Notamacropus eugenii: one gene and its partner. The protein of the gene in region 2 purifies or fractionates together with the protein of the main gene of each other region. This does not show direct contact. Links are inferred from orthologs where the notes say so. Each region holds a gene or a part of one and is shown on either strand. Other genes may lie near its edges.

The links. Proteins that work in one complex are often made in the same cells at the same time.
Region 1: the proteins of PRKAG3 (region 2) and PFDN1 purify together in Homo sapiens (affinity purification with mass spectrometry; 3 studies listed by BioGRID and IntAct, counting the BioPlex papers as one, with this or other methods). This does not show direct contact. The link is inferred for Notamacropus eugenii from reciprocal best matches to the Homo sapiens genes PRKAG3 and PFDN1.

What each region holds. Positions count from the first base shown.
Region 1 is NC_092872.1:367,773,312-367,781,293, forward strand, and holds the start of PFDN1 (prefoldin subunit 1), read right to left. Parts: upstream 3,093-7,982; 5' UTR 2,752-3,092; coding exon 2,719-2,751; intron 1-2,718. UniProt on the Homo sapiens protein: Binds specifically to cytosolic chaperonin (c-CPN) and transfers target proteins to it. Binds to nascent polypeptide chain and promotes folding in an environment in which there are many competing pathways for nonnative proteins.
Region 2 is NC_092877.1:317,288,263-317,296,248, forward strand, and holds the start of PRKAG3 (5'-AMP-activated protein kinase subunit gamma-3), read right to left. Parts: upstream 3,066-7,986; 5' UTR 2,887-3,065; coding exon 2,862-2,886; intron 2,595-2,861; coding exon 2,430-2,594; intron 2,043-2,429; coding exon 1,642-2,042; intron 638-1,641; coding exon 556-637; intron 1-555. UniProt on the Homo sapiens protein: AMP/ATP-binding subunit of AMP-activated protein kinase (AMPK), an energy sensor protein kinase that plays a key role in regulating cellular energy metabolism.

The DNA of each region.
Region 1 (7,982 bases), on a different chromosome or scaffold from region 2:
TAATAATACATATTATTATACATAATACATATGTATTATATGTAATACATATTATACATAATACATACACAATATAACATAATACATGTTAAATAAATTATAAAGATATAAAGTGCTACATAAAGTCTGAGGTGGAAGACTTTTAGAGATAATCTTTGAATTCAAAGTTATAGTCTGGTGGAGGAGACAGTACACATTAAAAAGATAACAAAAGTGGTATTGAATGCCAAATGAATGGGTTAAACAATAAGTAATATAGGAGCTCAAGGAAAAAATGAGAGAAAATTCAAAAATTTGAACCAAAAATGTAACAGTTGAGAACATAACTATTACAACAAAAAAACTTTAAGTTATGGAATCATATCTTGATACCCTCACACAGATACCAAGCAAAATTTTACTACTGTTTATGTATACCCTACTCTAGGGATAAACACCGTCCATGAATAATACTCTTGCTGAAGTGCCTGGAATGATTTTCACATGCTGTCAAATTTATGCCTTAATAATAGCATTTGTGATTACTAAGGCATAGCAAAACCATAGCTCAACTTTCACTCTCACCCTGTTTTCCCTCACTCATAACTGTTCCAGATTATTTAATTCCTGAAATTTTCCACATTTGTCTCCAACTAATAAATGACTAGAGGAAAGTTTAAAAATAAAATCTTTAGCCTACTTTAAAACCAAAACACGTAACTGCCTTTCACTAAAAACAAATTATTGTTAAGCTCTTGGTTAAAATAACTTTGTGCCAATTTTAACTTGCATTCAGGATTAAAAATTTCTATTGTATTTTTTCCTATTTTTCAACCAAAAAAAAAATTCAAAGTCCTGAAAAGTGAATGAGGCACATTGCTCATTATAACCTCTACCTGCCTTCTCTTTCCCGTAAACTATAAACTCATACTAAATTTAAGATCACAAACTTCTTTTAGCAATTGTTTTTTTCTAAGAGAAGAAATGTATGACCATGTGGTCTTGCAAACATCAAAGCTAAATATATCATCAAAGTATAGTGTAACAGAGCACTAGTATCAGGAAACTAGGTCCTAAGTCTTGGCTTTCCTACTTAATAATTGTGAAACCCTGGCCAAAACATTTAAGCTCTTTGGGCCTAAGTTTCTTCTTCTAAGAAATAAAGGCTGACCAGATGATTTATATCTCTAAAAAAATAGAGTTTAATCAAAATAAAATGAGAGAATTGGACTCTGATCTTTTTTAAGATCTCTCCCAGTTCTCTGATTCTATGACTGGGTTTTAAGGACTATCATAGTCCTCCTTAAGTACTCTAAAGACCTAAAATTATTTTGGGAAATGTACATATCTAGAAGCTATGATTTAGACAGAAATTCTCAATCTTCTCAATTTACTTCATGGGGAAAACTTTGTTAGATTTTTTTTTTCCCCAAGTAAGCCTTCAAAAAACAATAAAAATAAACAAAACCCTTGAAAGTCTGAGAAAGTACTGTAAGAACATCAGGTAGTCCGAACTTCCTACTAAAATCAAAGGGGCTTGTAAAAGTTTGGGAAAAGAGCTCCATTGGTAAAACAAAGAAGCAAAACCAACACGGATATTCATAGGATTTAATAACTCCTATTTACACAGTGCTTTGAGATTTACAAAATGCTCTTTTCAGGACAACTCTGTGAGGTGGTTGGAATAAATATTATTATCCCCTTTTTACAAATGAGAAAACTAAGGAGCAGAAAGGGGAACTGACCGGACCACAGTCACACTGCTATTAAGTATTAGAGTCAGAATTCTAAATCCTGGATCCAAACGCAGGCATTCTAACTGCAAATTCAGAGTTCTTATAATTACACTGTACCATACCTCTCTGAGCTGAAAGAAACCTTGAAGATCATCTAGTCTAACTCCCTACTTTTATTTAACGTTATTTTTACTAAGTTTTATCGATGCTTTTGTTTTAATGATACATTCTCTTTGGAGAACCGCCCCTCCCGTTAACCCCTCCTCCCTTCGAGACCAAAAAAAAAAAAAAAAGTTAAGTGAAAACCACTGATAGTAACCTCAACTGACAAATGCATTCAACATGCTCCCTCCCTCTGCCAAGGGGAGGACAGCCAACTCCCCGTCCTCCTCCAGTTCTCCCCGTGCCAAGAGGAAGGCAACTTCCTCATTGTAAAAAGAAAGAAACAAGGAGTCCAGGAACGTGACTTGCCCAAAGTCATGGTGTAGCAAAACAGGGTTTCTCCTGAAATCTACCCTAACTCTAACTACAGTGTTTTTGCTAACCAGATTAAGTTCGAGGCTTTTTTTCAGATCTAATGAGTATTTTGATTTTTTTAAAAATGAAGGGCCAGGTGCTTGAAAACATCGGTGATGGCGATGGGGGGAGGGGCGTGGTGCAAACACGAACAGTCTTGGAATCTCCCCATCATTGACAGAAAACAGCTTCCTGCCTCTTTCTATTCTGGAAAATGGAGTTCCCTCCCCCACCCCCAAGCCGCAGCGGCTGCACGAATACACCAGAGCTCGAACACGGCGCACGGACCACGAAGGGGAGGCCCGATGGGCCCGGCCCGACCCCCAAGGGCCCACAGCCCCAGAGAGCGCGGAGAAGGCCCGACCCTCGTACGGGCTTCCACAGGCCCCCTTCCCTCCGTCATGCCAGGCGTCTTTCTCGACTTCCTCGCTCAGGGGTCCCTCAGACTCTCTAAGAATGATTCTTCCCATTCAAGACCCTCTTTTACCTTCTTCAACTCCAGGTCCACGGGGGCAGCCATCTTGGCGCGAACTCTGCGACTGCGCACTGAGCGGCCGGAAGCAAAGTCGGCCCCCGGAGGAACGAGTGGAACGGAAGCAGTCGCTTACCCTTTGCGCCTGCGCGGGACAGAATGGAGGGTTGGGTGCTGCTTGTCCTCGGCTTCCTGGTGTGGGGACTGTCTGCCTTTTTGTCCGTTCGTTCCACTTTCATCTTTTAAGCACCACTTTGGTTCTCTGCAGTAACTCCAAAAATAAACAGGCCTTTTCGTCAAGCGACTTGGAGTTTAGAAGGGGAGCTAAAACAAGTTCACGAATACTACTATTCAGAAGCCACCTGTGGTGGGAAGAAAGCACGTGGTCTGTGACTATGACCTCAGTGCACCAACTGGTTCATCTCTCCTCTCAGGGACTCAGTTTCCTAATCTGTAAAACAAAGAGTTGGACCTGATGGCCTAGTGTTATAAGAGCCATAGCAGTTCTAGAATTCTATTACAGATTATAATCTATTCTATTATAGATTATAATATTTTATTATAGATTATATATTCTGTTATAGATTATTATGTATTGTTATAGATTATGATATATTCTATTGTAGATTTTAATATGTCCTATTATCCTATGAGGAAATATGCTTAGCAATTTCAACTGTTCCATGTTTCTAAACCTCATCTTGGAAGCATGTGATAGAAAGCTCACTGGACTTGGAAATCAGGAGAGAGCTGGGTTTGACGTCCTTCAGACATTTAGGAAAGAAAGATTTCTTCATTTCCTTGAGCCTAACTTTCCTTATCTGTTAAATGGTAATAAATAATGATATCTGTAGAACCTTAACCTCACAAGCCTACTGCAGGACTCAAATGAAGTTATATCCAGTGCTTTGAAGTTCATTGCCATTTTTTTTTTAAAAAGCAGCAGGACGTGTACAAATAAAAGTTACCACTGTGTGGCTGAACATCATAATTTCAGAAATATCAAAGTTGTAGATAACTCAAAAGGCAACATGAAGACTTGTATCATAAATTGAGTAAACTGTATCATATTACTAGCAATGACTTTTATGTGAGAACCATAAAATATATCATTAAAGATTTGAATGACCTGAAAAGGAGGTGACCTGGCCATCCATGTAGCCAGAGGGAAGGAGATAACCAATAATAATAAAAAGTCAACTAACTAGAGCCCTGACCTGGCATTCCTTCGTGGAAGATTTGTCTTACCAACAAGGATTGTACAAGACGAGAAGATGTAAAGGGGTTGCAATCTCCTCAGGTTGTACCAACACCAGGAAAGTAAGAATAATGTAAGTTGTGCAAAGTGTTATGAGATCCCTAAGACACCAGAGAGGCTTAGTCAGGTTCTAAAGATACGTTAGAGCTTTTATGTTCATTAGGATCTGGGCAGGCACCACACATACCCAGTTCTCTATAAGTCATAACACCACTGATTCGAGTTGGTATGACAGCAGCACTTTAACAACTAATTCTGTCAGAGTCCCCACTAAGGTAGCTACAGGACTTCCATACCAACTAGTAGACTACTCCATTTTCCCTACCAGTACATTTCCCTAGTTGAGCTAACCTAGCTTGGCCAGAATGAATGGCTATCTGTATATGCTAGGAGTTGAATTCATTGATGTGACATAGGAGACAGGTTAAAATGTTAGGCCTGGAGTCAGAAAGATCTGGATTCAAATTCTACCTGTGACACATACTATCTGTTATCATTTAGTCTCTTAATGCTCCCAGGCAGCTCTGTAACACTGTTGTCTTCATGTTGCCTCTCCCATTAGATTGTGAGCTCCTTGAGACTAATGACTATTTTTTTTTTTGCCTTTCCCCAGTGCTTAGTATAGTCCCTGTCATATTGTGGGAAAATACTTATTGAAAGACTGAGTATAAGGTACAGAGAATTTATTCATCAGCAATAAGCTCAATTGGAGGAAATATTCACACTGGGAATTCCCTACATCAATTTAATCACAGGTAGGCCCAGAGCAACTATTCAGAGTCAGGTATGTCTATATGTCTGTTGTCTATGGACTAGCCTTGCTGAATCCAGAGATGATCCTCATCAGATTGGTGAAGACTTTTTCAAACACAACTTTCAAAATCCATTGATTAAGTTACAGAGGGTTTGGGAATCTGCTTAAATAGAGAGAGCATACCCACCAATGAAATATAGATATATTTCAAAATATAGGATATAGAACCTTGAAATACCAAAGAAAAATTTATTTGCTCTTCCTTGCCATGTTTAACTTAGAAGTTTATGGAGATCCTATTACCTTATTCATGGAAAGGGACCCTAATATCTAACTGAGGAAACTGAGGAACTGGTCTGGAAAATATTAGACTAGAATTGGAGCTTTTAAATCCATTGGGACATCAGGTTAATCAAATGTGATAACATGTAAAGTGGTTTGTAACATTGAAGCACCATATCCCTTACTCTCTTATCCTATAACCAATTTTTCCTGTTAAACCTCAGCTGTGGATTACTCCTACCATGCACAGCTCCTATTCATGTGCTGCCAAATGAAGATGGAAAAAAATCACAAAACTATGCTGACTGGATCCACTAACAAATTTTTGCTGACCAGATCCACTAACAAATTTATGTTACATAAGTTCAACTGAGCCCTTCCTATAGCAAAGCAATCTCCCTAATTGACTCACTATCCAACTTACTGCAGTAGCTTTTCCAAACCTTTCCATCGCTCCTCAAATTTTCCATGACTCTCCCATGCCCCACCCTCTCAACTAAGAAACTTGCCTGATATTTCACTGAAATGTTAAGGCAATTCACCAACAGTTCCCTCTTCTCCCCTTCTCTTCATCTTACATCTTTCAGATGCCTTCTTCCACTATCTCTTCCTTCACCCTTGTATCACAAGAAGAAGTAGACTTTCTCCTTCACAAGTGACCCCATTCCAAGCTATCTTCTCAAGCACATTGCCTCCTCTATTATCCCCACTCTCTCATTTATCTTCAGTCTTCCATGTACACTGGATGCTTCCCTATTACAAAGAATCATACTCATGTCTCTTCCATCCTAAAAACGAAACAACAAACCCTCATTTAATTCATCCACCTCCCCCCGCACCCTGCCCCCCTCAGCCATCATCCTATATCTCTCCTTCCTTTTTTGGCTAAACTCCTTGAGAAGACCATCTACAACAGATGCCTCCACTTCCTTTCCTCTCATTCTCTTTTTAACTTTCTACAGTTTGACTTTAATCTCATTATTCAACTGAAACTGCTTTCTATAAAGTTGCCAGTAATCTCTTAATTGTCAAATGTAATGGCCTTTTCTCAATCCTCATCCTTCTAGACTTTTCTCCAGCCTTTGACACTGTTGATCGATCTCTTCTTAATATTATTTTCTAAGTTTTCATGACACTTCTCTCCTGGTTCACCTCCTACCTCTTTGACCACTCCTAAGTCTCTTTTATGGGATCTTATTCAGGTAATGCTTCATAAACATGAGTGTCCCACAGACTTGGTGCTTCTCTTCTTCCTCTACACTATTTCACTTGGAAATCTCATTGGTTCCCATGGATTCAATTATCATCTCTATGCTGATGATTCTCATATCAACTTATCCCACCCTAACCTCTCCGCTAACCTCCAGTATTACATCTCCAACTGCCTGTTAGACATCTCAAGCTGCACAGACATCTTCAACTCGATGTATACAATATCGAACTTATTATCCACCATCAAATTCTTCCATCTTTCTAACTTCTCTGTTACTATTGAGAGTGCCACAATCCTCCCAGTGACCAGGCTCACAATCTCAGTGTTATCAACATTTCATTCTCTCTAGCCCCATCATATTCAATCTATTACCAAATCCTGCTGATTTTAGCTCTATAACATGTCTTGCATTCACCCCCTTCTCTCTTATAACACTACTACAACATTGGCACAAACTCCAGGGGGAAGCTAGATGGCAAAGTGGCTAGAACACTGGTCCTGGAGTCAGGAAGACTCATCTTCCTGAGTTCAAATCTGACTTCAAACTACTTGTGCCAGTGTGATCTTAGGCAAGTCACTTAACACTGATTGCCTCTAAAAGAAAACAGAACAAACCCCAGACCCTGATCATCTCATGCCTGAATTATTACAACAACCTTCTGATTGGTCTCCCTACCTCAAGTCTCTTCCAACTCTAGTCCATTCTCCACTCAACTGTCAATGTGATCTTCCTAAAGAGCAAGTCGGACCATGTGATGCTACCCTTTAATAAATTCCATTGACTGGAAAGGAAGAGGGGAGAGATAAGAGGGAAAAAGTGAACCTTATTCTCATCACATTTGGCTTAAGGAGGGAATAACATGCACACTCAATTTGCTATGAAAATCTATCTTATACTACAGGAAAGCAGAGGAGAAGAGGATTGTGTGTGTTCATCCTTCGTTACTGAAGAAGACCATGCCATCAGAGAAATGATGACATGACTTGCACTTGACTTTTTTTGAGTGAGGGAGAGCTGTACAGGTCACCAGCCTCATATCTCCTCTAGAGCCATCTGAATAGAGTGACCAGATATTCATCAGGATGACTGGAGATGACCCAGAATGAGGCAATGGGGTTAAGTGACTTGCCCAAGGTCACACAGCTAGTCAGTGTCAAGCATCTGAGGTGAGATTTGACCTCAGGTCCTCCTGACTCCTGCACTGGTGCTCTATCTGCTGTGCCACCTAGCCACTCCTGGAGAAGAGGATAAAGGGGGAGGGGATGATAGAAGGGAGGGCAAATGGGAGGAGGGGGTAATTAGAAGTAAACACTTTTGAGGAGGGACAAGGTCAAAAGAGAGAATAGAATGAATGGGGGGCAGGATAGGATGGAGGGAAATACAGTTAGCCTTTTATAACATGACTTTTATGGAAGTCTTTTGCATAACTACACATGTATAGCCTATATTGAATTGCTTGCTTTCTCAGTGGGGATGGGTGGGGAGGGAGGGAGGGAGAGAAGTTGGACCTCAGAGTTTTAAAAACAAATGTTAAAAATTGATTTTACATGCAACTGGGAAATAAGATATACAGGCAATGGGGTATAGAAATCTATCTTGCCCTACAAGAAAATAGAGAGGATGGGGATAAGATAAAGGAAGGGTATGATAGAAGGGAGGACAAATTGGGGGAAGGGGTAATCAGAATGCATGCTGTCTTGGGGTGGGCAGAGGGGAAAGATGAGGAGAAAATTTGGAACTCAAAATCTTGTGGAAATAAATGTTGAAAACT
Region 2 (7,986 bases):
GCCCCAAAGGAGGCGAATCCGAGACTCGGGTAGACATCCCATAGCACACTGGCCAGTCTCTATCAGCCTCACAGCACTTCCTACCCTGAGGTCTCCTCTCTCTTCCCTTTTCTCCTCTTTCTCTTTCTCTTCTCTTCTACTCTTCTTTTCTTTTTCTTCTCCTCCCTTTCCTTCTCTGCCTGGGAGAAGAACTGAATGGTAGGGGTCTGCCTTCAGCGTAGCCCAGGGTTGGAGAGTTAGGTTGTTGAGCTGTTATCTAGCCATGGTCTCTATGCTATGTAGGCCATCAAAGGATTATAGGATTTGGAGTGGGAAGGGACCTTGGAGATCATTCATTCCAACCCCTTCATTTTGTAAATGAGGAAACCGAGGCCCAGAGATATGTGACTTGTCAACATGGCCCAAGTATTAAATGACATAGCTAAGACTTGAGCCTCAGAGCTCCACTGAAGAGACCCCTGAATGCTCCTGATGTCTGCCCACCTTGGCCAGTAGGTGCTCCCCTACATATCTTCACCAAGACCTTTCCCTTCCCATTCACAGACTTTTACTTACCCACAAAACTCTGCTTCTGGCTGTCCCACAAAGGGGCTGCCCGTACCCCATTAGCCACAAGAGCAAAGAAGGCCTTCTTGATCTGGGAAGAAAGAGGAAGAAATGATGTTGTTGCTTGGATAGATCCTATCATCTCGAACATTAATCTTACTGCTCCATCTACAGGTCAAGGATCTTGACATTCATTTGAGGCCTTTAACCCATAAGTCCTAACAGTCTTATCACCCTATTCTCTTTTGTAGAGTCTGCCCTGGGCAAACTACATGACTCTTCCACATTCTTGACCGGCTCCTGTGTGCTTCTGCTTACTATCTTGCCCATGCTTGGGAATGACCTCCATCTATTAATGACTCACTGTTCTTACAAGACCTCTTCCTTCCTTCCTGACTCAGGTCCCAGGGGACTCCTACTCAAATTCACCTAGCATAGCTCAGAACTTCTCTTTGTGCTGGTCTCATGCTCCTTGAGAACAGAGCCTTGCACATAGTAGGTACTTAATACACCCTTGTTGAATTTAAGTATTTTTTTGCAAGGTCCTTCCTGTACTTTTACAACTACTCATGTAGCCAACTTTCATCTCCCCCTCCATTTCTCCATTTGTACTTATAACCACTGGGGAAGTTGGGGTGAGTATGTATTGTGGAGGAAGGAATAATACATAAAGTCGAGGGAAAGTTTAGACCAGGAGTGGGGAACCTGTGGCCTTGAGGCTACAGGTGGCCCTCTAGGTCCTCCAGTAAAGCCCTTTGACAGGATCCAAGTTTTACAGAACAAATCCTCGGACTTGGTCAAAAGATTGCACTCAAGGACCTAGAAGGTCATAAGTTCCCCACCCTTGATTTAGAAGGTTATAGTAGAAAAGGGAAGGGAGGGAGTTAGAAGGGAGGAACCAAGGGAATTTGGTGAGGCTATGCAGGGAAGCACCTATGAACCAAAGTGAGACGGGTGTCTGACGCATTCAGGGGGTCTGGAGATGTAGGGATGCTTTTGTTTGATTATGGCTTTGGGGCTATAGGGTCCCAGGGAGATCTAGAAAGACCTTTGAGTGTAGGTTTGGAGCTTCAGGGAGCACAGGAAGACCCTTACCTCTAGCATGGTATCAAAGATGACCAGCTTTGAGCTGGTAGCCATGGCATCATAGCAGCTATGTTCTTGCATGAAGTGCATGTAGATCTGGGCTTCTGGGTGGAGCAGTTCTTCGTCCCAGCCCAGTTTGGGCAGGAGGATCTGTGGTGATGGACTTCTGGTCACTCTCCCTGGAATCTCCCCTTCCTGTCCCACTGATAAAGTCTCTGGATCCAGGGATATGGCCCCTGATGTGAGCCCTGGACATATAGATGTGAGCCCTGGACACATGGGTGTGGAGTCCAAGCCTATGGCTTCCAAGCCCCAGCTAATGGAATCGGATCCTGAGAATGTGGCAGCTTGGCTCTGGGATACATCTTCTGAGGAGGTAGACACAGACTCAGGCCTTGCCAGGACACCTGCTAGGAAGATGATGATAACATTTTACATTTATCCAATGCTTTCTACTTTACCAGTAGCTTTCTTATTTTGTCCCCTCAGCAATCCCATGAAGCATTGGGTATTATTGTTTCCATCTTACAGATGAGAAAACTAAGTTGCTAAGTTGTTGAGGAAATTGAGGTTTGGAGATATGAAGAGATTTGCCCAAGGTCATACAGCAAGCTTGCAGAAGAACTGAGGCTAAAACTCAGGTCTTCTGACCTCCACAGAGCCAGGAGCCATCTCAGAAGATTAAACTAAAGCATTGAGATCATGACAAGGTTCTAGTGTCTGCATCTACAGGAAATCAGAGGCACTCTAAACTGCAACTGTTCTTCCTCTCTCTCCCCAATAGGCCCATTCCTCACCCTGGGGGCTGTCTCCTTCCTCCAGGATAGGGGAGTCTCCTTCTTCCACAGCCTCTTGCCTTATCCACTGGGAGGCCTTGGCTCCCTGGTCATCATAGCTCTTCCCTGGGCTGGTATTCATGCAAGGAAATGGCCTTGAAGGGCTGTCCCCTGAGTAGCTCACTTCTGTATGAGGAAATAGAACTTGGGTAGCAGAGAAAGAGAGAGCTAGTGAGAGGGAGAGGAGATGAGTGAAAAAGAGACAAGATGGAAGGAAGAGAAGGAAAAAGAGGAGGTAACAATGGAATAAAGAGGAAAAAGAGGAGACAGTGAAAGGGAGAGCAAGGAAAGATAGTGGGATATAGGGATAAGGTAACAGGGATAGAGGAATTTCAGGCAGGGGAAGAGGAGGGATGTGGGAAGTGAATGTGGGGCCAAGTAGCTCCTACCCACCTGGTTGTTCCATCATGTCCCACATGGTTGTTTCAAGATGAAGGCTGTGAGAAGAAGGCAAGGTGAAAGGCTAAGAGAGGATGGCAACCCAAGCCTCAGCTGCTCGAGTCTGAGGGACTGCAGCTGGCTCCCACCCTCTGTCCCTTCAGATTCCCTCTATTCCCTCCCTGGGGCCCCTGTACCCAGTGTAGGGTGTGTTTCTGCTCAGGCTGCATCCAGCCAGTGTCGTGCTGACTAAAGCTGTGGCAGAGACTATTCTGGGCCCCAGCTCTCTGGCTCCCTGCCCCCACCAGAAGATCAGTTTCTCTTTGGCTCGGTGTCAGACCAATGGGAGGGAGGGGCTCCTCCTAGCCCAGCTGCCCCAGGCCTGCCTGGGCCAGCAACCCTGTGGACACTGGCCAGCTTTGGAGATGGGGAGAAGCATACAGGTGCTTTTATTTTGTGGGGGAGGGGGGAGAGAAACATCCAGATTATCTCTGGGACACAAGAAACCTGCCTCCACAGACTTCTTAGCACTTCTGAGAAAATTTAAACAAGGTAGTTACAAGAGCAAATCAGTTCCCAATAGGAGGCTACTGGTAAGTAGTATAGGTGGGAGCAGATGAGAGCTGTCTAGAGGTCTATCCTTTCTTTGTGAGACTTTCCTTTCTTTGGTTAGCAACTACTCTCAACCCCTAGAGGAAAGATGTCAATCAGGGGGTGTAAATGGGGAGATTGAGTCAGAGGGAAATAGGTATTGGGAAGACAGGGAGGCATGTGCCTTGGGGTGGAGTGTAGGGTTAGTCTAGAGAAAATATTAGAGGAGGAGAATAGAAGGAAAACAGGGACATACCAAAAGCAGGAGGGGGTAGGGGATGAGAAGCCTTCCTACGGGCAAATAGAAGATAATAAAGAACTCTAGAAGGGAAAAAAAAGGATACTTCCATCAGGGATGTGGGCTTTAGTGCTTTGAGATCCTTGGGAGCTCTCTGATCAGTCTTAGAGGAGGTGACAATTAGTTTTCCCACCCCAGCCCCCAGTCAGGACAGGTATTTTGGAGTGTATTAGAAATAGGGCACTCCAGGGTCCAACTAGACTCCACTTTTGCCTGTGAAGTCCTCACTACTCTTTCTGCCAGCGGGCTAATAGCCCAGTTCTGGTATCTAACCTCCCTGTCCCACCCCTTGACATGCCTAGAGCTTGAGTCATAGTCCTAATGAGGAATGCTGACCATGCTCCCCTTGGTTCTCCCTCCCCACTCCGAGGCCTAACCTCCCTTCCTTCTGAGTTCTTTCCCATTATTACTCCAAGCCACGCTTTCTAACTTCCTTTTCTTGGGGGAAAAAGGGGTGTGATGGGAAGTGATCTGGGACTTAAGACCTATGAACATAGTAATGTTCATAGACCTGAGCTCCAGAGGACTGTGATGAAGCATGCTTCCTAGACCCTGGCCCAGAGGGCAATGGACTAGAGGTACAGAATGAGAAGGACATTTCCAGACATGGCCAATGTGTGGGGATTTGTTTTGCTTGGCTGGGATTATATGTTGCAAGGGAGGGTTTAAAAATATGGGGGGGAAGAGGGGAGAGGGAGGAAGGGGCAATTGATAGTGATGCCAAGAGTTAACAAGTGTTTATTAAGCTCCTATAATGGGCCAGGAATGACTAAGTGATGGGGACACAAAGAAAGGCTCTCAAGGGGCTCACAGCCTAATTGAGGAGATGACATGAAAACAACTATGTGCAAACAAATATACACACATACATACACACACATATATATGTATATACACACAGATATATAGAATAAATTGATACATACAAAATAAATATATACAGAATAAATAATCACCAGAGAGGGTACTAATGCTAAGGGGGATCAGGGCAGGCCTCTGATAGAGCTGGGAAGCCAGGTGGGGGAAATGAAGAGAGACCAGATTCCAGGCATGGGTGTTCACTGAACCAACAAAATGCCAGGTGTCTGGAGTAGAGTCAGCATCTTGGGCCTCTTGAAGAAAGATTTGAGTTGAGACTTCAAGGAAGCTGGGGAGCCTGGAGACAGTGATGAAGAGGGAGAGAATTCCAGGCCACTGAAAATAGAGTTGAGAGATGGGAAACTGCTAGACGGATCAGAGGAAAGGGTGCTGGGCACGTAGTCAGGAAATTCTGAGTTCGAGCGTGACTTCAGATGCTTACTAGGTGTGTGACTATGGACAAGTCATTTGGACTTCTATCTGTCCACTCCCAGAGTTGCTGGAATGAGAGAGTGCTTGTAAAGCACCTAGAAAGTATTTATAAGTTTGCGTTTCCTAATGCTCCCCTGAGAGCCCCGCCTCGCTGTGGAGGATCATAAAGGGGACCAGTGTCATAGGACTGTCAAGGACAGTGGGGCAGTTGGAGTGGAGTAGGGTGTAAGAAGATTTGAAAAGTAGGAAGGTTTTGAGGGTTTAAAAGCCAAGTAGGATTTGATCTCAAAGAAAGAAGGTAGTACCACTGAAACATTCAAAAAATACCCAGAGGAGAGAACAGAGAAAGTTCAGAAGAAGATACAAACAGGATAGCTTTGAAACACAGTGTTCAATTTATTGTATACTTAAAGGTGCAACTATGTAATAGAGATACACAGTCTCAAATACAATCATCTTCTCTGCTATATCGTATACAGACATGTTGTTGGTTGGTGTTTGTCAAGTTCAGAATAATTAAAAAATTAGATTTAAAAAAAAGCACAGGGCTGGAGCCAGGACATCTGGGCTTCAGCATGGATACTATCACTAACTTTTTAGACCCTAGGTCTCAGTTTCTCTTTCTGTAATATGGAGATAATAATACCTATCTCACAATGTTGTTGTGAAGCAAGTTAAACAATTAATCAATAAACGTTTATTAAACACCTACTATGTGCCAGGTACTATGCTAAGTACTGGGGGTGCAAAAGGTACTCCCTGCTCTCAAGGAGTTTATAATCTAAAGGGGAAATAACATGCAAAAAAACCCATATAGAAGCAAGCTATACACAAGATAAATGGGAAATAATTAATAGGGGGAGGGCACTAGAATCAGGAGGCAATGGGAAAGGCTACCTGTAGAAGGTGAGATTTTCCTTGGAACTTGAAAGAAGCCAGGGAAGCCAGAGGTTAAGGAGTTTTGAGCCTTTCAGGCATAGGAGATAGCTGGAGAGAAAGCCTAGAGTAGAGAGATTGTCTTATTTGTGGAATAGCCAGACCAGTGTCACTGGAGAGAAGAGTGTGTATTAGAAGGAAGGTTTAAGTAAAACTGGAGGGGCAGCAAGGTGGTGCAGTGGATAGAGCACCAGTGCTGGAGTCAGGAAGACCTGAGTTCAAATCTCACCTCAGACACTTGACAATCGCTAGCTGTGTGACCTTGGGCAAGGGCCTCATCCTGGGTCATCTCTAGTCATCCTGATGAATCACTGGATTCAGATGGCTCTGGAGGAGAAGTGAGGCTGGTGACCTGCACAGCCCTCCCTCACTCAAAACAAAGTCAAGTGCAAGTGATGTCATTATTTCTCTGATGGCATGGTCTTCTTTGGCAATGAAGGACGAACACATACAAGTAAGACTGGAAAGTAAGTAAGTAAGACTGGAAAGGTATGAAGGAGCTAGTTATGAAGGTCTTTGAAACACAGGATTTTGTATTTGATCCTGGAGGCCATAGGGAGCCACTGAAGTTTATTGTGTAAGGGAGTGAATAAGGAATTCTTTAGGAGAATCCCTTTGGTGGCTGAATGGAGGAAGGATTGGAATAGGAAGGTAATCCTACCAGGAATCTATTGGGTATGAAATAATGAAGGTCTGTTCTAGAGTAACAGCAGGGTCAGAGGAGATAAAAGCGGCAAGCTTTATGGAAAATTTTTTAATCCTATGGAAATATAAACTATGATTCCTTTTTTCTTCCCTCCCACCCCCCAGACAAATCCTCACACCCCTCTCCTCTGCAGCTCCCTACCTTGTCCATCTGGACATTAGATACTGACTTCCAGATACCAAGTCAGATGGGTTAACACCAACTTAACTTGAATAAAAACATAGAGCTTGTATTCTGTAAGTTCACCCTTCTATCCAGACACCTGCTAGCAAACAACTCTGAAAATGTACCAAACTATTGGCTATAGCCATAGTTATTAAGTGCAAATGCACTGAACTATTAATACTTCTCTATCACTTCCCTAAGTCTAGAGACTGGACTCAGGGCTAGACTAGATCTAGACTTTAAACAATCCATGAAGCAATAAAGTGAAAGACTGATTTATAGACTTTCAAGATTCAAATGCTTACACTGAAATTTTAACAATCATTTCTTCCAAGGAGGTTTGAGCTGGCTCCAGATGATCCCTGTCCCTACCCCAAATGAGACACCTCTCTTCTGTCAGATCCTGTCCTGAAAAATGCCTTCCTAATCCCTCAGACCTTTGCAGATGAATTCTATCCATACAAATCCTACACATCTGTTCCAATTGGTGAAAAGAGGCCTGGGTTAAGTGAGAGACAGGAGACATGGGTTCTAATCCTCACTGTCGTCATTTAGCCAAGGTGATGTTGTTAGGTCACTTTGCTGACCCAGCCCTCAGTTTCTTTATCTGCAAGTAAATAGGGAGAATAAACCCTGCTTATCTCTTAGAAGGGTTGTGAGGCATTATTATTATAATTTTTCCTCCACATTAAGTTATAAAGCATGTCAATGAGATACCAGAAATTTGAATATGGCCCTGTTGTTACCGACCAGTCCTGAGGTCTTTTCCTCTGCAGGGTAGTTTCCTACCTTAGTGTATACATCAATTCAATGAACAATTTAATAGCACTTACTGGCTCACGTCCCTCACCCATCTGGCCTTTCCGCCTTTTGTCAGGCACATTCCTTTGCTAGCTCAGCAGTGTCTGAAGCCCTGACCACCTGCTGCTTTTCATTCTTTGGACATGGTTCTCCTACTTCTTTGACTATGTAGTTGGCTGGTTGAGAAAAAAATGATGGTGGTTTCTTAGGGTCCAGCATCCCCTGCTGGTCATTTTACTATATACAACAAAGGAAAAAATTGCCTCTTTCAGGATTCCTAGAGGAGATTCACAAGATGCCAGAACTGAGACAGACCTTTGGTGTCATCTGCTCTACTCATTCCCCACCCCTGT